2 linked regions of the Pelodiscus sinensis genome follow. The protein of the gene in region 1 binds, or shares a complex with, the protein of each later gene. Links are inferred from orthologs where the notes say so. Each region holds a gene or a part of one and is shown on either strand. Other genes may lie near its edges. The genes, in order: PIGP and DPM2.

The links.
Region 2: PIGP (region 1) and DPM2 share a complex: the UniProt entries of both Homo sapiens proteins name them as parts of the glycosylphosphatidylinositol-N-acetylglucosaminyltransferase (GPI-GnT) complex. The link is inferred for Pelodiscus sinensis from reciprocal best matches to the Homo sapiens genes PIGP and DPM2.

Annotation. Positions count from the first base shown.
Region 1 is NC_134711.1:186,269,893-186,279,092, reverse strand, and holds the start of PIGP (phosphatidylinositol N-acetylglucosaminyltransferase subunit P), read left to right. Parts: upstream 1-5,597; 5' UTR 5,598-5,737; exon of another isoform or gene 5,738-5,780; intron 5,781-5,856; exon of another isoform or gene 5,857-6,036; intron 6,037-6,361; exon of another isoform or gene 6,362-6,497; intron 6,498-6,971; 5' UTR 6,972-6,990; coding exon 6,991-7,072; intron 7,073-9,200. Other genes in the region: E3 ubiquitin-protein ligase TTC3, read right to left, coding at 3,450-3,527. UniProt on the Homo sapiens protein: Part of the glycosylphosphatidylinositol-N-acetylglucosaminyltransferase (GPI-GnT) complex that catalyzes the transfer of N-acetylglucosamine from UDP-N-acetylglucosamine to phosphatidylinositol and participates in the first step of GPI biosynthesis.
Region 2 is NC_134732.1:10,558,097-10,567,534, forward strand, and holds the start of DPM2 (dolichol phosphate-mannose biosynthesis regulatory protein), read left to right. Parts: upstream 1-5,513; 5' UTR 5,514-5,649; coding exon 5,650-5,652; intron 5,653-8,340; coding exon 8,341-8,430; intron 8,431-9,438. UniProt on the Homo sapiens protein: Regulates the biosynthesis of dolichol phosphate-mannose. Regulatory subunit of the dolichol-phosphate mannose (DPM) synthase complex; essential for the ER localization and stable expression of DPM1.

The sequences.
Region 1 (9,200 bases):
TGAGACCATTGCTCCTTGTTCTGTCATCTGTCACTACTGAGAACAGCCTTTCTCCAGTCTCTTTGGAACCTCCATTTAGGAAGCTGAAGGCTGCTATCAAATCCCCCCTCACTCTTCGCTTCTGCAGACTAAACAGACCCAACTCCCTCAGCCTCTCCTCGTAGGTCATATGCTCCAGCCCCCTAATCATTTTGGTCGCCGTCCACTGGACCCTCTCCAATGCGTCCACATCCTTTCTATAGCGGGGGGCCAGAACTGGACACTATACTCCAGATGTGGCCTCACCAGAGCCAAATAAAGGGGAATAATCACATCTCTGGACCTGCTGGCAATGCTCCTCTTAATGCACCCTAATATGCCATTAGCCTTCTTGGCTACAAGGGCACACGGTTGACTCATATCTAGCTTCTCATCCACTGTAACCCACAGGTCCTTTTCTGCAGAACTACTACTTAGCTGGTTGGTCCCCGTCCTGTAACAATGCTTGGGATTCTTCCGTCCCAAGTGCAGACTCTGCACTTGTCCTTGTTGAACCTCATCAGATTTCTTGTGGCCCAATCCTCCAATTTGTCTAAGTCACTCTGGACCCCATCTCTGCCCTCCAGCGTATCTACCTCTCCCCCTAGCTTAGTGTCATCTGCAAACTTGCTGAGGGTGCAATCCATCCCCTCATCCAGGTCATTAATAAAGATATTGAACAAAACCAGTTCTAGAACCGAACCTTGGGGCACTCCGCTAGAAACCAACCGCCATTCTGACACTGAGCCGTTGATCACTACCCGCTGGGCCCGGCCTTCTACCCATCTTTCTATCCATCTTACCGTCTATTTATCCAATCCACATTCCCTTAACTTGCTGGCAAGAATATTGTGAACTCCTGGCTAAGCTAGTAGTGGTACGGACCCACCACTGACCAGGCTCTGGGCTGGAATCCAGTGAAGAGAGAGGGCCTGGGACCCCCTACCCTGCCCCATTAACTCCTAAGGGGGGCCATCACACTGGACTAGGAATGTTAAAGGTAGTTTAACTAATTCAATAAACGATGGGATTTCCATCCATTATTCAATTAGTCGATAAGGGAGCCTCCACCTTTGAACTGTAGCCAGAGCTCAAAAGCAAAAGCCCAGCAAGGAGCCTGGGGCCAGCAGGTGTCTGGCCCGGTGCTCCTGGCACGCATGAGCCTCTGAAATGTACAAGTGCCCTGCTGGTCCCATGCTCTCTGTGGGGCTTCTGCTTCTGAAATGTACAAGAGTCCTGCTGGCACTCTTGTACATGTCGAAAGCAGAATCACATCAGAACTGGGCCGAGCCCAGACTGCTTCAGTCTGCACTCATGATGTTTCCCACTGGGCCTCTATCTCCCCTACCCCCCACGGAGATGGTGCTGGGGGAAACGGGTAAAGGCAGCAAGGGTTGAGAAGGGACTGGTCATATCACTAGTCAACTATCTGATAAGCTAATGATTACCAGATAGTTGACTAGTCGTTTACATCCCTAACTTTGACTACTGACTTGGGCCAGTTGGCCTTGGTGCCCTGCAATAGGGAGTCTTGCTACTGACTCAGCCACTGGGCCTTATAGCCCTGCTCATGGTGGCTGCTATTGACTGGAACTAAGCCAAGCCAGACTATAGCCACTAAAGGGTGGAGCACATCAGGCGTGGCTTGATAGGCTCGATAGCCTGCCTTCAAGTGGGCCGGGCTTACCACCATGTGACCAGCCCACGGCCCTTTTCTTTCTTTCTTCCCTGGCAAATTCTGGGACCATTAATCCCTTTGAACCGATGTGCTTCTGCCCTATGGGAGCAGGGGAAAGAATGAAGCATATGGTCATACTCTACCTGGGTCTATATTGTGAGTTTACAGGTAGAGCTTACACAATTTCTTGCATCCCCATGGTGAAGTCACCTCTGTTCACAGTTCAAAGTTTTTGCCAGGCAAAAACTTTACATTCCTCCGTTCTCCCTATTTCAAGCACATTAACCTTAGGACATCACTCTTCTTGGCCACAAACTGTGTACTGTCAGTCTCTAAGAAGCATCTGGGTTTCTTATGCCTGAGCTTAGGTATCCTTTGTGACCCAGCCTTTCCTGGGTGTACTGTAGTACTCTGCACCAGCCAGTAATCTCCATTGTTACTCCAGAGACAACGCAACTTGCATGCCCCTTCTGCTCTTAGTACCTACACTACTTCAGTGGGACCACCTGACTTTTCCCTTCAGCATCTGCAACACCCAGGCCTACAAGGACTGCTGAGCTCCCCAGCCAGCCTGTGACATGTGTTCCTTGAGTTTTCACTGCTGCTCCTTCGAACATGCAACATCCTTCCCTCAACATGAGTTTAAGCATCATTCTATATTATCATCTCTAGATGAAGGGAGTGAGCCTCATACCCCACTTCTGTAACCATACCATAATGAGAGCTCTCAAACTAGTGTGCCCCCTGGAAGCCCAGCCATTGCAACTCTGCCTCCATTTCGCTGAGTGAAAGTTTTATGAAGTGCATATTGAACACCTGTATGGGGCCTAGTTTATTCAATCCTATAGGTGAAATATCACATCAAAAGGCCTCCACTTCACCATCTCTAGTAGGCAGGAGCTGAGTCAACATTAGTCAGTCAACCAAGTTGTCCCAAGTCCTTTACCGGTGAGGCATCCATGACATGGAACCTTTTCAAGAATCAGGGGTCTCTTCTCACTAACAGGGGGAAGGGTCCTTTCTCTTAGGTTAAGGCCGAAGTGCAAAGACCATTCCTCAGGACAACATCTAATGTCTTTTTCCTCCAGGGCTTCTGACTGGAAGTCTTCTATAAGAGCCAGATTCTCTAAGGCTGTGTCTATATAGCACCCTTAGCTCACAGTAAGTTACACAATTTGTGCTACGCATTTCGAAATAGCACCAAATTTTGAAATCACTTGCTAATCCGAATTTCCCCTTAACCCTGAGGAACGAGGGTTACCAGGATGTTGGAATAAGTCGCTTGTTATTTCAAAAACTATTTTTAAAATAATGGGCTGCTTCAATCGACGTGGAATAGCTATTTCAGGATACTTCTGGTATCCTGAAATAGATCTGCAGTGTAGATGTACCCTAAGACTAAGAATTCACACTTCCTTCCTTCCAGAAACTCTCCAACTGTGGAGCATTCTTCCCAGGTTTCCTTCAATGGATCCTTCACCCTAGGTCAGCCTGTCAGAGGTAAACAGAGCCCTGATTACTTCTGAGAGACAGTCACCCTGTGGTCACCCATACAGCCTATTCCTAGGGGAATAATCTGTAGTGGTTTATCAGTGTAATTGTTTTAATTAAAGATCACACCAGTATGATTTAAGTTAAAATAAGCAACCTACACCTTGACAGCTATATTAGTACAAAAGCAGCATGTAGACTACCTGAATAAGAACCTCCATTAGGCATCTTGCCAGTCCCTTACATATTAGTGTTTACTTACCAATTCACAGCATGGTTTAATACAACCACGATGAAAAGTGATGCCATTGAAGTCTGATTCCAATGTAGTTTCTTCCATAGTGCATATCCCTGGGGGGGGGTGGGAAAGCCACAAATGCATTAGAAAAGACTCAATCGGAATACTCCTCTAACAGACCTTAGAATGTCTGCAAAATTAAATTATAATCTAATGAAAGGGGAAATGAGCCCTTCAACTGTGAATTTTAGTTTTCCACTCAGGATTGTCCAGAAGTCCAAATAACCAGCACCATTATTCGATGAGTCACAAATCAGGACTAAGCACTGCATAAACACAGAACAAAGACAATCCCTGTTCTAAAAGGCATAAAATCTAAGTATGAAACTAGAGATAAGGGATGACTACACAGATTGGTGGGAAAACATAGGAAACACAGAGACAATACTGGCCAGCATGATAGTCTGTGGCTCTCCTCATACCTGCAGCCTATGAAGATTTTTGTAGGCTTCAGGACTCAACATTTTTCATACTGGATCACAGAGAACAAATCAACACCATAGTCTCTCCATGCCAACTGACCCAAAACATTTTGTTATTTGCATTTTATAGTGCACTTTCTCCACTAATCACAAAAAACTACATAGACTAACAAAAATTCATAAAATGCTTTTGATTTGGTTCCCTGGCATATTGTACCTGTGTTCTTTCTGTCTCTCCATGGACACTTCTTCCAAGTAGCAAGCCTCTACTTGTATTTCTCCAGCCATTCACAGACAGGATCATCAGGTGTTTGCCAAACCTCACTTGCAGCAATAGGGTCCAGTTTGTGGGACTTTGTAACTTTATCACCAAGCTACAAAATCCTTTGTTTGCTTATACAAATGGGTTTAACTATAGACTATTCTCTGAGGCTGTGTCTACGCTGGCGCGATCTTGCGCAAAAGCTTGCTGCCTGTCTACACTGGCTGCATGTTTTGCGCAAGAAAACTGACGTTCTAATGTATAAAATCAGGGCTCCTTGTGTGAGAACTCTTCCGCTTCCGCTCAGGAATAAGCCCTCTTGCACAAAAGCTCTTCCAGAAGAGGCCAGTGTAGACAGGCAACATGAATTTCCTGCGCAAGAAAATATCATTGATCTGAGGAAGTGGGTCTGGCCCACGAAAGCTCATCACTTAATAAGCCATCTTGTTAGTCTTTAAAGTGCTACATAGCTCTTTTATGAACACAATGAGGTCTTCAGTCAGTAACTCTCTCACCTCAGCTCTATGGTTCAATTTCATCCATTCTAAAGACCCTTTGGTTTAGAATTTCAAAGTTCTTTTGTCTAACTTGGCACCCTGTATGCGGTCTGGATTGGTTTGCATGTTTCACCACAGAAACATAACTGTGGTCATCATACAGCAGATTCTAAGCATTGTCTATTTCAGTACAGGACAATTAAGGCAGACAGCCGTCATGTCTTGACCCGGGGGAGCCAAAGCCAGCTCAGGCTGTTTGTAACATTAAGAGAACTAATCTCTCAACCTCATTTCATAGGATACAGGTACATGTCTATGAAGACAAGGGCAGGTCCTATCGGTGGTCTGTCACCCCCGGAAGGGAAGCTCATCCACCCAGCTCTGTAGGAAACGTCTCCCCGCGCTAGTCCGGAGTGAGCCAAGCATGCTCACGGGAACTGCTGGATAAACAGGCGGCCGGGATAGTCTCTACACCACACAGAGTCCTGCCCTGGCTGCTGGGGCTAACAACCGGGCAGGACAGGAGGCGCGCTCCCTAGGCTACAGCGGGGGCTGCTTACATGGCATGGGCGTGCCAAGGACGCGACTCAGACCGAGCCCCGCCTCACGAGACACTTTGCAACGGAGGCGGCGGAAGCTGCTCGGGCAGGACCCCCCGGCCCGCCCGCCCGGCCACGCCTTCCTCCGGGCGCGCCCGCTGCCTTCGCCACAAGCTCCGGGCCGGGGCAGAGGAAACGGGCGGGCCGGGGCTGGGCGTCCCTAGCAAAAAGCCCCACGGGCGGCGAGAACCTGTGACCCGCCGGAAGTGTGTGAAGCTGAGAACAACCCGCCCGCCCGGCACATGAGAGGCGGGGATACCGCGCGAGCGCACCAACGATCGTTCAACCGACACCCCGCAACTCACCGGGTCGGACAGCGCGCGCTTCTTGCAGGGGGCGAGCGGCCCGTCCAGCGCTACCACAAGCAAGGCGCAGCAGAGCCTCAGGCAAAGCAGCCCCGCCCCCACGCACGCATCCGCCCCAGCGCTTCGATTGGCTGCTTGCCCTCTGACGCAGAGATTTCAGCACGGGGGTGAGGGCTTGCGGCGTCTGCGCGAGAGACCCAGGCAGGAGCGGTGGGTTCCCCACTCTCCTTGTGTTGGCAAACACTGCGCAGGCGGGGAAGTGGCGACCACGGCTTCTCTTGACGTCATGCACAGGCGACGCCTTCGGGCGCGCGTCTCCGTGCGTCGTGTCGGCACGTCAGGCGGAGGAGAAGCGGCGCGGGGGATGTGCCGCGGGCAGGGCAGGGAGCCCCTCCCCCTCCCAGCTGCGTCGCCTGGCTGCAGGGCGGGGGGCGGCGCTTCGCCCCTTGGGTGTCACGTGGCTGCTGTGAGCCCGGCGCTTTTCATGGGGAGGGTCCGCGGGTGGGGAGTTCGCGTCCCCTGAGCGAGCCGGTGGCGGGCGGGGACTGGCCCAGGCAGGGGCGGGGGACCTGAGGCTGGGGAGCTGGCTGCGGCCCAGAGGCTCAGGGCTGCTCCTCAGCGCTGGGGAGCCGTGGGGCTGGAGCACGCAGATCTGCTAGCCTGGGCTCTGGTGGGAGGGGGCTGTGGCGAGTGGCTTTCTCCTTCTTAGGGCCACGTCAGTGTGGTGGGGGGGGGGATGCTTCTCACTTGTGTGCAGATTATCCTTGACTGATTTTTCTTTGGGTCAGCAGGCCCTGTCCCAAAAAAGGGTCCCCACCCCCAACGCTTTGTACAGCACTGCTGCTGCTCTGCCCCAGTGGGAAGAGAGTTGCTCTGTGGTTGGATTTTCCCCAGGCCTTGCCTAGTTCACCCATCTCTGCATTTGCGGTGGCAGGTGCTCTGGAAAGCACTAGGGCTTGGCACCCACCCACAGGCTGCACTCTGCCTGCACTGCCCCAAAGTGGAGCAAGCCACCTTTTGGGTGCCTAGTTCTGCTACAAGGCCTTGCATGGTTCTTTTTCCCCACAGGGGCAGGCTGTGCCCACCAGTGAGATCAGTGCTAAAAGGAATGGGAAATACTGGTTTTCGCAAGCCCTCCTGGTGTCACCATGCCAGGAATTTGCAAATCTAGTTAAAAAGCAGGCTCCTTTGTCAGGAGCCGTGGCAACACGTGGCCCTGGAGTATGCTAGCGCTCACGTTGCACTGGGAACAAAGCTATTTAAGTCCCTTTCCCGATAGCCACAAAGAAGATGAAAGTGAGAGGATAACATATTCATGGGCTTCTCAATATCTTGGAAACCTGTTTTAAAAAAAGATGATGTGTTCCTGACAGCTTCTTGTAATTAATTTCTTTTTCTCAGTTAAAAAGAAGACACTAGCATGGTCGAAAACTCTCCAGCCCCATTGCCTGAAAGAGCAATATATGGGTTTGTTCTTTTCTTAGGCTCCCAGTTTGGCTTTAGTAAGTATGCTTACTTTCTAAGTAAAGTGCTATATGTATTTGCTGTACTAAACAGGTGCCTCTAGTAAGGTGTAGAAGTTTTTAAAAAGAATGTTTACATTAATACTTCTCATGTAATAAAATTATATTACCTGTTATGAAAAACTGAATTATTTTTTGCAATATTGTAACCTTGTTGAGCCCAGGATACTGTAGAGACAAGATGTTGAGGTAATATCTTTTATTTAACCAACTCTTGTTAGTGAAATAGATAAACTTTAGTGCTCTGTGAGCAGGACCATCCCTCCAAATTCATGAAATATGCAGCAGTAGGCTGCATATCGGATCCAGGGACCAGCCCCTCATCCCACTCACCGGGCGGTGACAAGCAGCAAGGGCCGGAGGACTCAACAGGAGCAGCAAGCGGCTGTGCCTGGAGCCTTTCATTCGCTCCCCAGAGGCTTCAGGTGAGCCGCCTTGCAGTGCTCCTGTACCCCTCAGCTTCTGCCCCCCTGCAGAACTCCTCCCTGCCCTCTCCCCCTCCATTCTGAGGAGGGATGCAGGTGCTGGGTTGCTTACAGCACCAGCATTGCTAGGGAGTGCCCTGTCTATAAGCTCAGAAGCAACTCTTGTTCACCAATAGAAATTGGTCCAGTAAAAGATGTGACCTCACTTCCTTGTTCCTCTGAACTATTAAAACATTTTGCAACTTTGGGGCTAATGACAGACAGCACAGCCCTAGTGTTTACTGCCCTCAGTCCCCACAGTACATCAGCCAGCCTTAACTAGGGCTGTGTGCTGGGAAATTCAGGAGGGAGCCAGGGCGGAGCCATGGCAGACAGTTGGCTTGCCCAAGTCTATAATATTTACCACCCATGAGTCCAAGTAGTCAGTTCTCTTGCATTCTTTTGGATTTTTGTTCTCCGTGATACTGCTGCTAGTGGCCGTGTAGCTGAGTGTGCCGAGGGAACGGCTATATTCATGGACAGGTGGTAGTATATAGGCATAGTAAGGCTCAGCCTTCCCTGCTGCCCACCTGCCATTGGATTCCTGGACTGCAGTGGTTCAGCCACTCCACCATCACCACCACCTTTCTGGGGGTTTTCACAGCATCCTACCTACTCTTGGGAAGGAGAGTGAGAACTAAGACATGGCAAGCCATTGGATGGATGGCCGGAGGGCATCTGGCAGGGAAGTGAGGCAGCTTGTCCAGGGTTGCTGGGAGGGATGATGCTCAAGAGACCAGCCTGGCATTTGGGGAAGTTTGTCTGGGTGGGAGGGGGCTTCAGGGAGGCTAGCAGCGCACCCAGCACAGTGCAGGTGGGAGGCACTGGCTCAGACAAAGGGGGGCAAGCTGCAGGGCTGATGGCTTGGCCTATGACCAGGAGAGGGAGGTCCAGTGCTAGGGATGGACAGGCAGCTCGGCCTCATTTGGTTTGGGCCAGCAGGTGAGGGCTCCCCTTGTTGCAGGGGAGGCCTTCAGGGCTCCTCCTGTTAAGAGAGTGGGTGTTTTGGGGTACATCTAGACTACATGCCTCTGTCGCCAGAGGCATGTATATTAAGCTACCAGGCATAGGAAAATGAAGCGACGATTTAAATAATCGCCGCTTCATTTAAATTTACATGGCTGCCGCGCTGAGCCGATCAGCTGTTTGTCGGCTCAGCGCGGTAGTCTGGACGCGCGGGTGTCGACATCAAAGGCATTTGTCGACCACCCAGGTATGCCTCCTGGGATGCAGTTTACCTGGGTGGTCGACAAATGCCTTTGATGTTGACACCCGCGCGTCCAGACTATCGCGCTGAGCTGACAAACAGCTGATTGGCTCAGTGTGGCAGCCATGTAAATTTAAATGAAGCAGCGATTATTTAAATCGCCGCTTCATTTTCCTATGCCTGGTAGCCTAATCTACATGCCTCTGGTGACAGAGGCATGTAGTCTAGACGTACCCTAAGTGTGTGGGAGACAGGGCCTCAGGCAGAACAGGTGGGGCCAGCAGGCTAGCCTCCCCAATGTGGGCGGTTCAGCCTCTGCCCATAGCTATATTTCAGGGAATTAGTTGAAAACCTTTCAAGTAGGCTAAGTGTACAGCATATCTTATGTACACAGTTGGCACTCTGACTTTAACTTCAGTTAAAGGTACAAAACAAA
Region 2 (9,438 bases), on another chromosome or scaffold:
GCCTGCTGTTGCAAGAGGCTGCTGGGGCTTATGGCGGCCTGCACTTACGTGGTACGGCACGCCAGGTTCAGAATGAGACCGCTTCAACTATGGCTGCACTGGAGCTACAACCCAGCTGTTCAGCATATGGACACGGTGGTGACAGTCCCCGTGGACGTGCTGAAATCCCTCGACTGGTGGCTGTGCGAGGAAGTGGTCTGCAAAGGGATGCCATTTCTTACCTCTTCCCCGTCCATTCAGCTGGTGATGAACGCCTCCTGACACGGGCTGGGAAGCTCCAGACGCAAGGTGTGTGGGACCCCGTGGATCTCTCTCTCCATATCAATGTCAGGGAGTTGAGAGCTATTCGCCATGCCTGTGGTGTGTTCCTACTGCGGCTCCAAAACAGGTGCGTTTCAATTTTGACTGACAATATGGCTGCAATGTTTTATATAAATAGACAGGGTGGTGCTCGCTCCTATCCCCTGTGCAAGGAGGCTTTCCTTCTCTGGGAGTTTTATGTAGCTCACAATATTCACCTGGTGGCCACCTACCTCCCCTGGGCTCAGAATGAGCTGGTGGATCACCTCAGCAGGTCCTTCCAGGGGTACAAAAGGTCCAGTTGGGGAAACCCTCACCTGTGGAAAATGGAGAGGGTTACATCTGCCCTCAGAGACCAGTTTGCCACCCATGTCAACAGGAAATGTCCCTGGTTTTGCTTTCTGTACAGGCACAGCCCGGGGTCTCTGGGACATGTGTTGACGATCCTCTGGCCTCGGGGCCTTTTCCCCCCTTCCCACTGATCCCCAGAGTAATCCTCAGGGTCAGGGAATTCCAGGACTCAGTGACTCTGACAGCCCAGGCCTGGCCTCGTCAGCATTAGTTCCCAGACCTCCTCGCCCTTTCAGTGGAGTGGCCTCTGGCCCTCCCCCTGCATCTGGACCTGATCTTGCAGGAGTTCGGCAGACTCCGGCATCTGAACCTCCTCTCCCTGCACCTCATGGCATGGAAGCTCCATGGCTAATGGCCTCAGAGAGGCAGTGTTTGGTGTAGGTCCAGGCAGTCCTCTTAGAACGCTTCCAGCTCCCTACTCGGTCTTCCTACCTGGCAAAGTGGAAACCGTTTGTGATCTGGTCAGTAATAAGGGGGTCCCCCCTTTGGAGGCCCCGGTCCCAGTTATCTTAGACTACCTCCTGGGGCTCAGGCTCCAGGGCCTGACTCCTTCCTCCATGCAAGTGCACCTAGCAGCCATCTTGGCTTTCCACTCTGGCTCGGGGGGAAGGACCGTTTTCTCAGACCCCATAGTGCACTGGTTCCTCAAGGGTTTAGACAGGGCTTACCCTCAGGTGTGTGAGCCCGTGCCCTCCTGGGACCTAAATGTAATGCTCTCGAGGCTTATGGGTCCTCCCTTTGAACCACTGGCCACATGTTTCCTTCTACACCTGTTCTGGAAGGTGTCTTTCCTGGTGGCCATTACCTCAGCCAGGAAAGTATCAGAACTCAGGGCCCTAGTAGTGGACCCCCCATATACAGTCGTCTTTAAGGATAAGGTCAGGCTATGCCCCCACCCAGCTTTTTTGTCCAAGGTGGTGTCTGTCTTGCTCACCAGGATATATTTCTCCCTGTGTTTTACCCTAAGCCCCATAGCTCTGGGATGGAACAGGCTTTACACACACTTGATGTGAGGCATGCTTTAGCTTTTTATTTAGAGAAGTCCAAGCCCTTCCGCAAGTCCCCCCAACTGTTTATAGCATTAGCTGATAGGATGAAGGGTCAGCCAGTGTCGGCTCAGAGTATTTCATCCTGGATCTCAGATTGCATCAAGACATGTTGCGAGCTAGCGCGGGTTCCGGCCCTGCCCATTAGAGTGCACTCCACGAGAGCGCAAGCCTCTTCCATAGCTTTTGTGTCCCAGGTGCCCATCGTGGTGATTTGCAGGACAGCCACCTGGTCCTCAGTGCACACTTTTGCAGATCATTATACCATCACTCAGCTCGCCAGGGAGGATGCTGTTGTAGGTAGGGCTATGGCCCCAGCCCACTCAGAAGAGTCTTCATCTGTGTTCATCTCTCAGTCAAATCCTAACACAACCTCATCTCCCTTCTCTTGGCTGGTTCCACCCCAGGCAGCCATCCATCACTCTAGCCATCCAGCCTGCAGGCTGGATCCGGACTGCCAGGGTTAGTCCCTAGTGGGTCCCCACTGCTATATTTACCTGCACCTCCACTGGTACTAGCGATTGCAGCTCCCGTTGGCTGGGAATGTCAATCCACAGCCAATGAGAGCTGTGATCACCAGTACCTACAAAGGTGCAGGTAATATAGCGGCAGCGGCCTGCCAGGGACTAACCCTGCTCTAGGAGGAGGTAGCTAGGTGAAGCCATTTCCCTGACCCTTAGTCATACTTCTATCCAGTCCCAGTAGGCAGCCAGTGACTCCTCAGAGCAGTGGACACAGTGTGGAGGGCTCTGTTAGCCGTCCTCTTCTGGATCTCTCCCTTTGAGCCTGTCTCTGCCCTCTGGTCATTTTTTGGCCCCTGCAAATGTTTACATGAAGGGTTCTCTCTTCTCTGGCCTTTCCTTTGTCAGGGGGGGTGGGCCCTTTGAGAGACATCTGCAACCCACGGCCTCGGGTCGACAGACTTAGGGCTTGTCTGTGTTGACATGCTATAGCTGCACCACTTCAGTTTACACGCTACCTATGCTGATAGGAGGGCATCTCCTATCACTGTAGTTAATCCACCTCCCTGAGAGGCAATAGCTAGGTCTAGGGAAAAACCTAGTGCTGTCTGCACTCAGAGTTAGGTCAGTGTAGCTCGGTCTCTCAGGGGGTTGGATTTTTCACGCCCCTGAGGGACTCAGCTATGCCAATGTACGTTTCCAGAGTGACTCCTCCTTTCCCCTTTGGTGTTTCATTCAATACCTTTTCTTCTCTTTTTTTTCCCCACACGCCATCCCACAACGCTGGGTCTCTCCCACTCATCCCCAGTTTTGCCAGAATCCAGGCCCCAGTACTGCTGTTGAGACAGTGGGGGAAACCAGGGCTCCTGGAGCAAGTCCAGTATGTAGCCTCCAACAGCATCATGTGGGCTCAATGAGTACAGCTCTGCCAGGAACAGGGCCTCTCTCTAGTCTCCCAGGGGGTCTCTCTGAGGGAAAAAGGCAATTCAGGGACTGCTGTATGTATGGGGGTGGGGTGGATGGGCTTTTCTTGAGGGGAGAATATGGGACTGGCCTGTTAATAGATCATTGTCAGTTCCACTCTCTTTCATTTGATCAGAGGCTGTGTGTAAACTGATCACTGGACCAGTCCTGAAAACAGGATCTTCCGGGGCAGCTGCTCCCCCTAGTGCCAGGTGATCTGCACAGCCATAACATTACAGAGCCAGAGTGGTGCTTTGCAGAGGGGCTGCCTATGCTGCAGTGATTGTGCAGATCTAGCCAAGTTGATGGAAGTTGCTGTGTCTCCGCTATGCTGGACCAGGGTGGTTTTTGCCCTAGATCACCTAGATTGACCTTTGAAATGAAGCCTAACCTGAGGCTTGGTATGTACTATAAAGGAAAAATCTTCGGTCAGTCCAGCCCTCCTGTGAGAGAGAAAACCCACTCCAAAGTCACCTCTCACTTGTCAGTTCCTATGGTTTCCTGTTCCTTGCTCTCTGGTACCCAGCTGCCAGAGCTGAATCCCCAACCAGGTGGGATTGAAGCAGAACTTTTGAGGTGAAGGTGCTTCCCCTTGCTGCTTCTGTACAGAAATTGGGAGGAGTTGGGGCTGAGAGATCTAGTAACTGAACAGAAAGTAAAGGGCTAGTGCACCTGCTAACCAGATGAGTATGATGCAGCCATGTCCTCAGTCTGGCAGCTGTAGGGGAAGACACTCTGGATAAAATCTACAACATCTGTGGGTTGACAGGGTCTGAGGCAGGAGAGGCATCATGCAGGGAGTTTTAATTGAAATGAGTCAGAGTCTTCAGGGGTCTGTAGGACAGGCCTGGAAACAATCAGAGCAGGTGCCCAGACCTCCAGGACAACCTTTTCCCCTGATACAGCCCAGAGTGGCCCTCCCCTTCTCCTTGGAGGCCCAAGTACCTCCTCCATATCTATAAACTGGTCTCGGTCATTCCCATCCCAAGTTTGGATGACTTGGGCCCCAATAAGTGGAGGTGGTTCTCTTGGCTGAGGGAACCCGAATTGACAGCCTTTCCATGGTGGGGCTGAATTCTGTACAGGAAGCTGTCAGTGTCTGCAGTGAATGTGACACCACGCTTTAAATATGGAATAAGTGATCACCCATGTGACTAATTATACTGGTATAATTACACTGGTAGATTTCCCCATGTAGACAAACAAGCCCTAAAATAGAGTATTTAAAGAGCCTAAGTCACTGCTGGCTTAGTAGGTGATAATTAGGGAAGAGTTAAAGTTCAGTGCTCTGCCCCCTGGAGAAGGGACCCAGTGCCCTGCTGCAGTTCTCTTTCTAGGCAAGGGGAGGATCATAATTTCCCAGGGCTTCCTCCTTCCCTTTGGAGTTGTCTAATTGTACAAACACTGAAGAGGAAGGTTTGTTTTTTGGGGGGAAGGCTCTTTCTGTTGGAATTAGAAAGAAAACCCTTGCTAGAACCAGAGTCGTAGCTTGATGTTTGATAAAATCATCCATGGAAAGATCCATGTACCCCTGTGGATCTGAAGCCACATCCACAAACTTGCAGGGATCTACTGGTGGCGGTTACATGGTGCCCAAAGCTTTTGTGACAGACACACCCAACGCTCTGCTCTAGGGTTGCCAGGTGTCTGGTATTGAACTGGATGGTCAGGTATTTGTGCCTTCTGTCCAGTAAAGAAATTGAGAAAATACCAGACACATAAAATGTCTGGTATTTTCTGCTTTTCCTGGCTTGGTGCCCAATGTAGGGGTTGCCCAATGGTTTAACAAAAAATACCGAACACCCTGGGGGGAGACCAAAGTTGTTGGGGGGAAAAAAAGGGTGCTGTGCCTTTAAATGGCCCCACTCTCCTCATTCGCCCACCCCACTAGACACGCAGGTGCATATTGTCCCTGTCAGGCTTCCGTCTGAGGGAAATAGGAAATATTGGACACTTCACATGTCCGGTATTTTCTGTTTTTTTTACTGGACGGGGAGACCTGAATAACGGACAGTCTGGGCGAAAACTGGACACCTGGCAACCCTGGGGATGGGGGGAGTGACCCACCAATTAAAGGGGCTGCGACTGCATTTTGGTGGCCCGATGTGCTTTTTTTTTTTTTTTTGGTCAACAAAAAATTCCCGGTGCTTTTTTTGGGAGGGGAGGGGGTCCGGCCCTGGTTGCCTGCTAAACCATCTGGCAACCCTATTCTGCCCAGCACTGTCTCCAGAGTCTTGGAAAAAGATACGCCTACATCCCCCATGATGCTCTGGGAGAGGCGCCACGTGGCGCGTACATCTCCTATGATGCCCTGGGAGAGGTGCCGCGTGGAGCCTACATCTCCCATGATGCCTTGGGAAGGCGTTCCTTAGAGCCTGCATCCCCCATAATGCAATTGTGCCAAGACAACACCCGGGATGCTACGAGATCTAAGTGCTGGTCACTGATTGGCTTGGGTCTCCCGGAAGTAGCTGAGCCGGCTGGGGGGGGGGCTGCGGTGGAGAAAGTGGCCGCGCTCGGTGGGGACCATGGTGAGTGGGGGGGATGGTGAGTCCCGTCTGCCCCCCGGGAGAGGAGCTTGGTATGAACTGGTTCCCTCTCAGCTGAGCGGCAGCGGGCACGGGGAGGGGCGCGAAGGGGTTAATTCCGCCCGGTCCGATGGGGGAGGGGCGCGAAGGGGTTAATTCCGCCCGGTCCGATGGGGGAGGGGCGCGAAGGGGTTAAACCCCCCCCCACACACACACCCCGGTCCGATGGGGGAGGAGCGCGAAGGGGTTAACCCCCCCCAAACACACACACCCCGGTCCGATGGGGGAGGGGCGCGAAGGGGTTAACACCCTCCCCCCCCACACACACACCCCGGTCCGATGGGGCCGGGCGAGCATGAGTGTGGAGTAGACTGAGGCTGGCTCCCCCCTGGGGCCTTCCCCGGGGCTACGGGTGCTGGGCTGCTGGAGCTGCAGCGTTGATGGGAAGCTGTAAAACCCAAGCCCTGGGCACTTCGGACCCAGACGCTCCCATGTGCTGGCTTAGCCGGTGTCCAGACTAGGTTCCCACCCTGGCAGTTGCATTCCGCTTGCGCACCATGGAACCAGCCCCTTCCATGCCCTTCACCCACTGGCTCCTGTCCCCGTCACTTCTTGCCTTTAAAAGCAAAGTTTTATAATGCAGAATGACATCCATGTTCCACCCCAGAGGCGGCTGCCTTTTAGTGATGAAGTACATTGGGATTCTCATAGGTGAACGTGTTGTTGATCAAATCAGATGATTATATTGGCCTCACAATGAAGCTGTGTTAATGTTATGTTGAGGAATTTAAGCATACATGCAAGATGTTAAGATTCTCAAAATAAGTTGAATTCAGGAGTGTGTTGGCCAGCCAGGTTGTAATTACATGAATTAGAATTGGGCCAGGATAGGTAAGTGAACATTCCTAATATTTCAGCAAGTGCCTTGGCTCATTAGTAATCTCAGGAGTTTGGTTTTCTGTATATCTTTAAAAAAAGATATTCCCAGTAGCACAGTGCCTCTTTACACCCTTCTGGATCAAAGTCAGTGCTGATTGTAGTGAATCCTCACCCACCACTTGTGACAGCTTCTTGGGTTTTCCTACAACAAGGGTTTTCAAACTTCATGGCACCATGACCCACTTCTGACAACAAAAAATACTGCACAACCCTAGGATCAGGGACTAGGGACGTTAAATATTGGTTAACTGAATAGTCGATTAACCTCATGAATTCTTATCCGTTAGTCAACTGTTCTATAATAGAACAAGGTCTGCAGCCAGTGCGCTCTGTTCCCACTCCTGACGAGTCCCCTGCCACTCCGTGCTGCTGCCTCTGTTTAAAAACCAGCTCCCCTTGCAGACCGGCTGCTTGTCACCCCCCACAGTGTGCAGCAGCCCCTATCTGGGGGGAGGAGGGAGGCTGAGCTCCTAGACCCCACGTGAGCTGGAACTGAGCCAGGCTGTTTGCCCATCTGGTTCCTAATACACCTCAAATGTAGAGCTGCAGCAGGAATAGGTGCCATACCTGGTGTGAATCAGGACTGAGTTGGACTACTGGCCATCCTGCTAAAAAATTTGCTGGCAAAGGAGAGGGGGGGAAATGAGTGTAGTCTATAGCATTTTGCTTATCAGTTAGTTGGTTAATCTACTACTATTACATCCCTAGTGGGGACTGATGCCTGAATCTTCCTGAGCCCAACTGCCCTGGGTGGGAGGGCCAAAGCCAAGCCTCCAATGCCCTAGGCTGAAGGGAGGGGGACAAAGCTCAAGCCTCAGGCAGGGAGCTGTAATCTGAGAACTACTGCCCAAGGTTGAAGCTCTTGGGTTTCTGCTGCAGCTCTGGGTGGTGGGGCTGGTGCGTTGGTTTGGGCCCCAGCAAGTCAAAGCCAGTCCTGTTGACCTAATTAAAACCAGGTCATAACCCACAGTCTGAGAACTGCTGTCCTAGAAGGTCTCCTAACTGACTTGCTCTGACTCTACTTAGCTTGAGGTTTCTAGGATCATAGCACAGGGGGACATCGTTGCAAGCTCTGTGGATGAGTAACGGCTTCAATACAAGTGAGTGGATCACACCTTGGTGAGCATCTCACAAAGCATAAGAAATTGTCTCTATTTCAGAGCAAGAGGGGATGAGTTTTATCAATGAGGCATTTAAGGCAAATTATTTGTCCAAGTATTTTTTCTTTGTTGGCTTTTGTTTCAAAACTACATCTTCATGGCCAGGAGTTGAGGCTTTGTTTACACTGGAAAGTTTAAAGCACAGCCGCAGCAGCACTTGAATGCCGCAGTGTGGTCACTACAAGTGTGCTGGGACAGAGGTCTCCCAGCTCTCTAGGTAGACCACCTTCACCAGAGGAGTAATTAACTGCTCTGGGAGCATGGCTTCTAGCACTGTAGCTAAGTTTACAGCATTGTAAGGTGCTGTGTTCAGGGGGTTGTTTTTTCACACCCGTGAGCCAGAAAGTTGAAGTGCGGTAAAGTGGCAGTGTAGACTTAGCCTGAGTAAATACTGCAACATAGAAAGGACACCTATACGTTTATCATATATTTGTGCTACCATAATACATAGGACTGCTTGTTATGGACCAGACCCCATTGTACTAGGTGCTGTAATATTCACTTGTATTTTAAATGTCATTGTGCCATTTGTACTCTCTATAATTCAGTTGGAGGAGCTGAATTGTTTTGACTTGTTACTTTTGTATTCCAGGCCACAGCAATGGACCAGCTGGTCGGATTTGGCTTGGTAGCCTTTAGCCTTGTTCTTTTTGTTTACTACACCATCTGGATTATTATACTGGTATGGATTCCTGCATGCACTCTGGTTATTGCAGTCTCAATGGCTTCACTGTTGTGTTTCTTTTAGACTTTTGTTAGACCTGTTTGTCTAGCTTTATGCTCACTGTAAAACCGTTACTATAAACTCCTTCTTGCTCACTCATCCCTTCAAACACTTGATCTTCTGAACCTTGACCAAAGCTGAACCCCAAAGAATTATCTGTATCAGTGTGCTTTGATGGGGTAGGTGTGGTGATCTGAATAAAGTTATAACTGCAGTGTTCCACCCCTTTGAACCTTCACCCAAAACTCAAACTCAGAATAATTCTGGGGTTTTCAAAAAAGTCTCCTTAGTGTTCACTTCCATGCTGTGGGCAGAACAGTCTTGCTCTTGCTACATTTCAAAGGCAAAAGTGCCACCAGTTCCCCGCTGCACCCCTGTCCCCTCTTCCCATGGAGATTGTGCTGGGGGGAACCAGGTTTTAAGCCGGTTCCCCCCAGCACCGTATCCTGCTCCCCACCCCTTGCTGACTCTCTCTGATAGCGGCAGCAAGGGGGGAGGGGAAGCTACTAGTTGAGTCACTAGTCAACTATCCGATAAGGATTTGCTTATCGGATGGTCTACTAGTAGACTAGTTGCTTACATCCCTGGTTGGTATGTTCCTGTTATTTCTAGTGAGTGTGTTGGTACAGGTTGCACCTCTGAAAACCAGCATTCTCTGGTCCCGCAATATCTGTGGTCCAGCAAGACAGCAGATGCTCCTGGACCAGAGAGCTCGGGAGCTTAATGGAAAGAGGGCCAGCAGCCCCCCGGGGACAATGGGACCAGAGGACCCCACAGCAGTGCTGGGCCAGGAACTAAAGAATCCTGGCAGCCTGCGGCAGTGCGGAACCAGGCACTGGGGAATTTTAGTCGCCCGCAGCAGCGCGCGGTTGAGGGCTGGAGAAGCCTGGCTCCCTGTGGCAGCATGGAGCTGGAGAGCCCTGACAGCCAGCAGCTGTGCGGGGTCAGGAACCAGAGAAGTCCAGC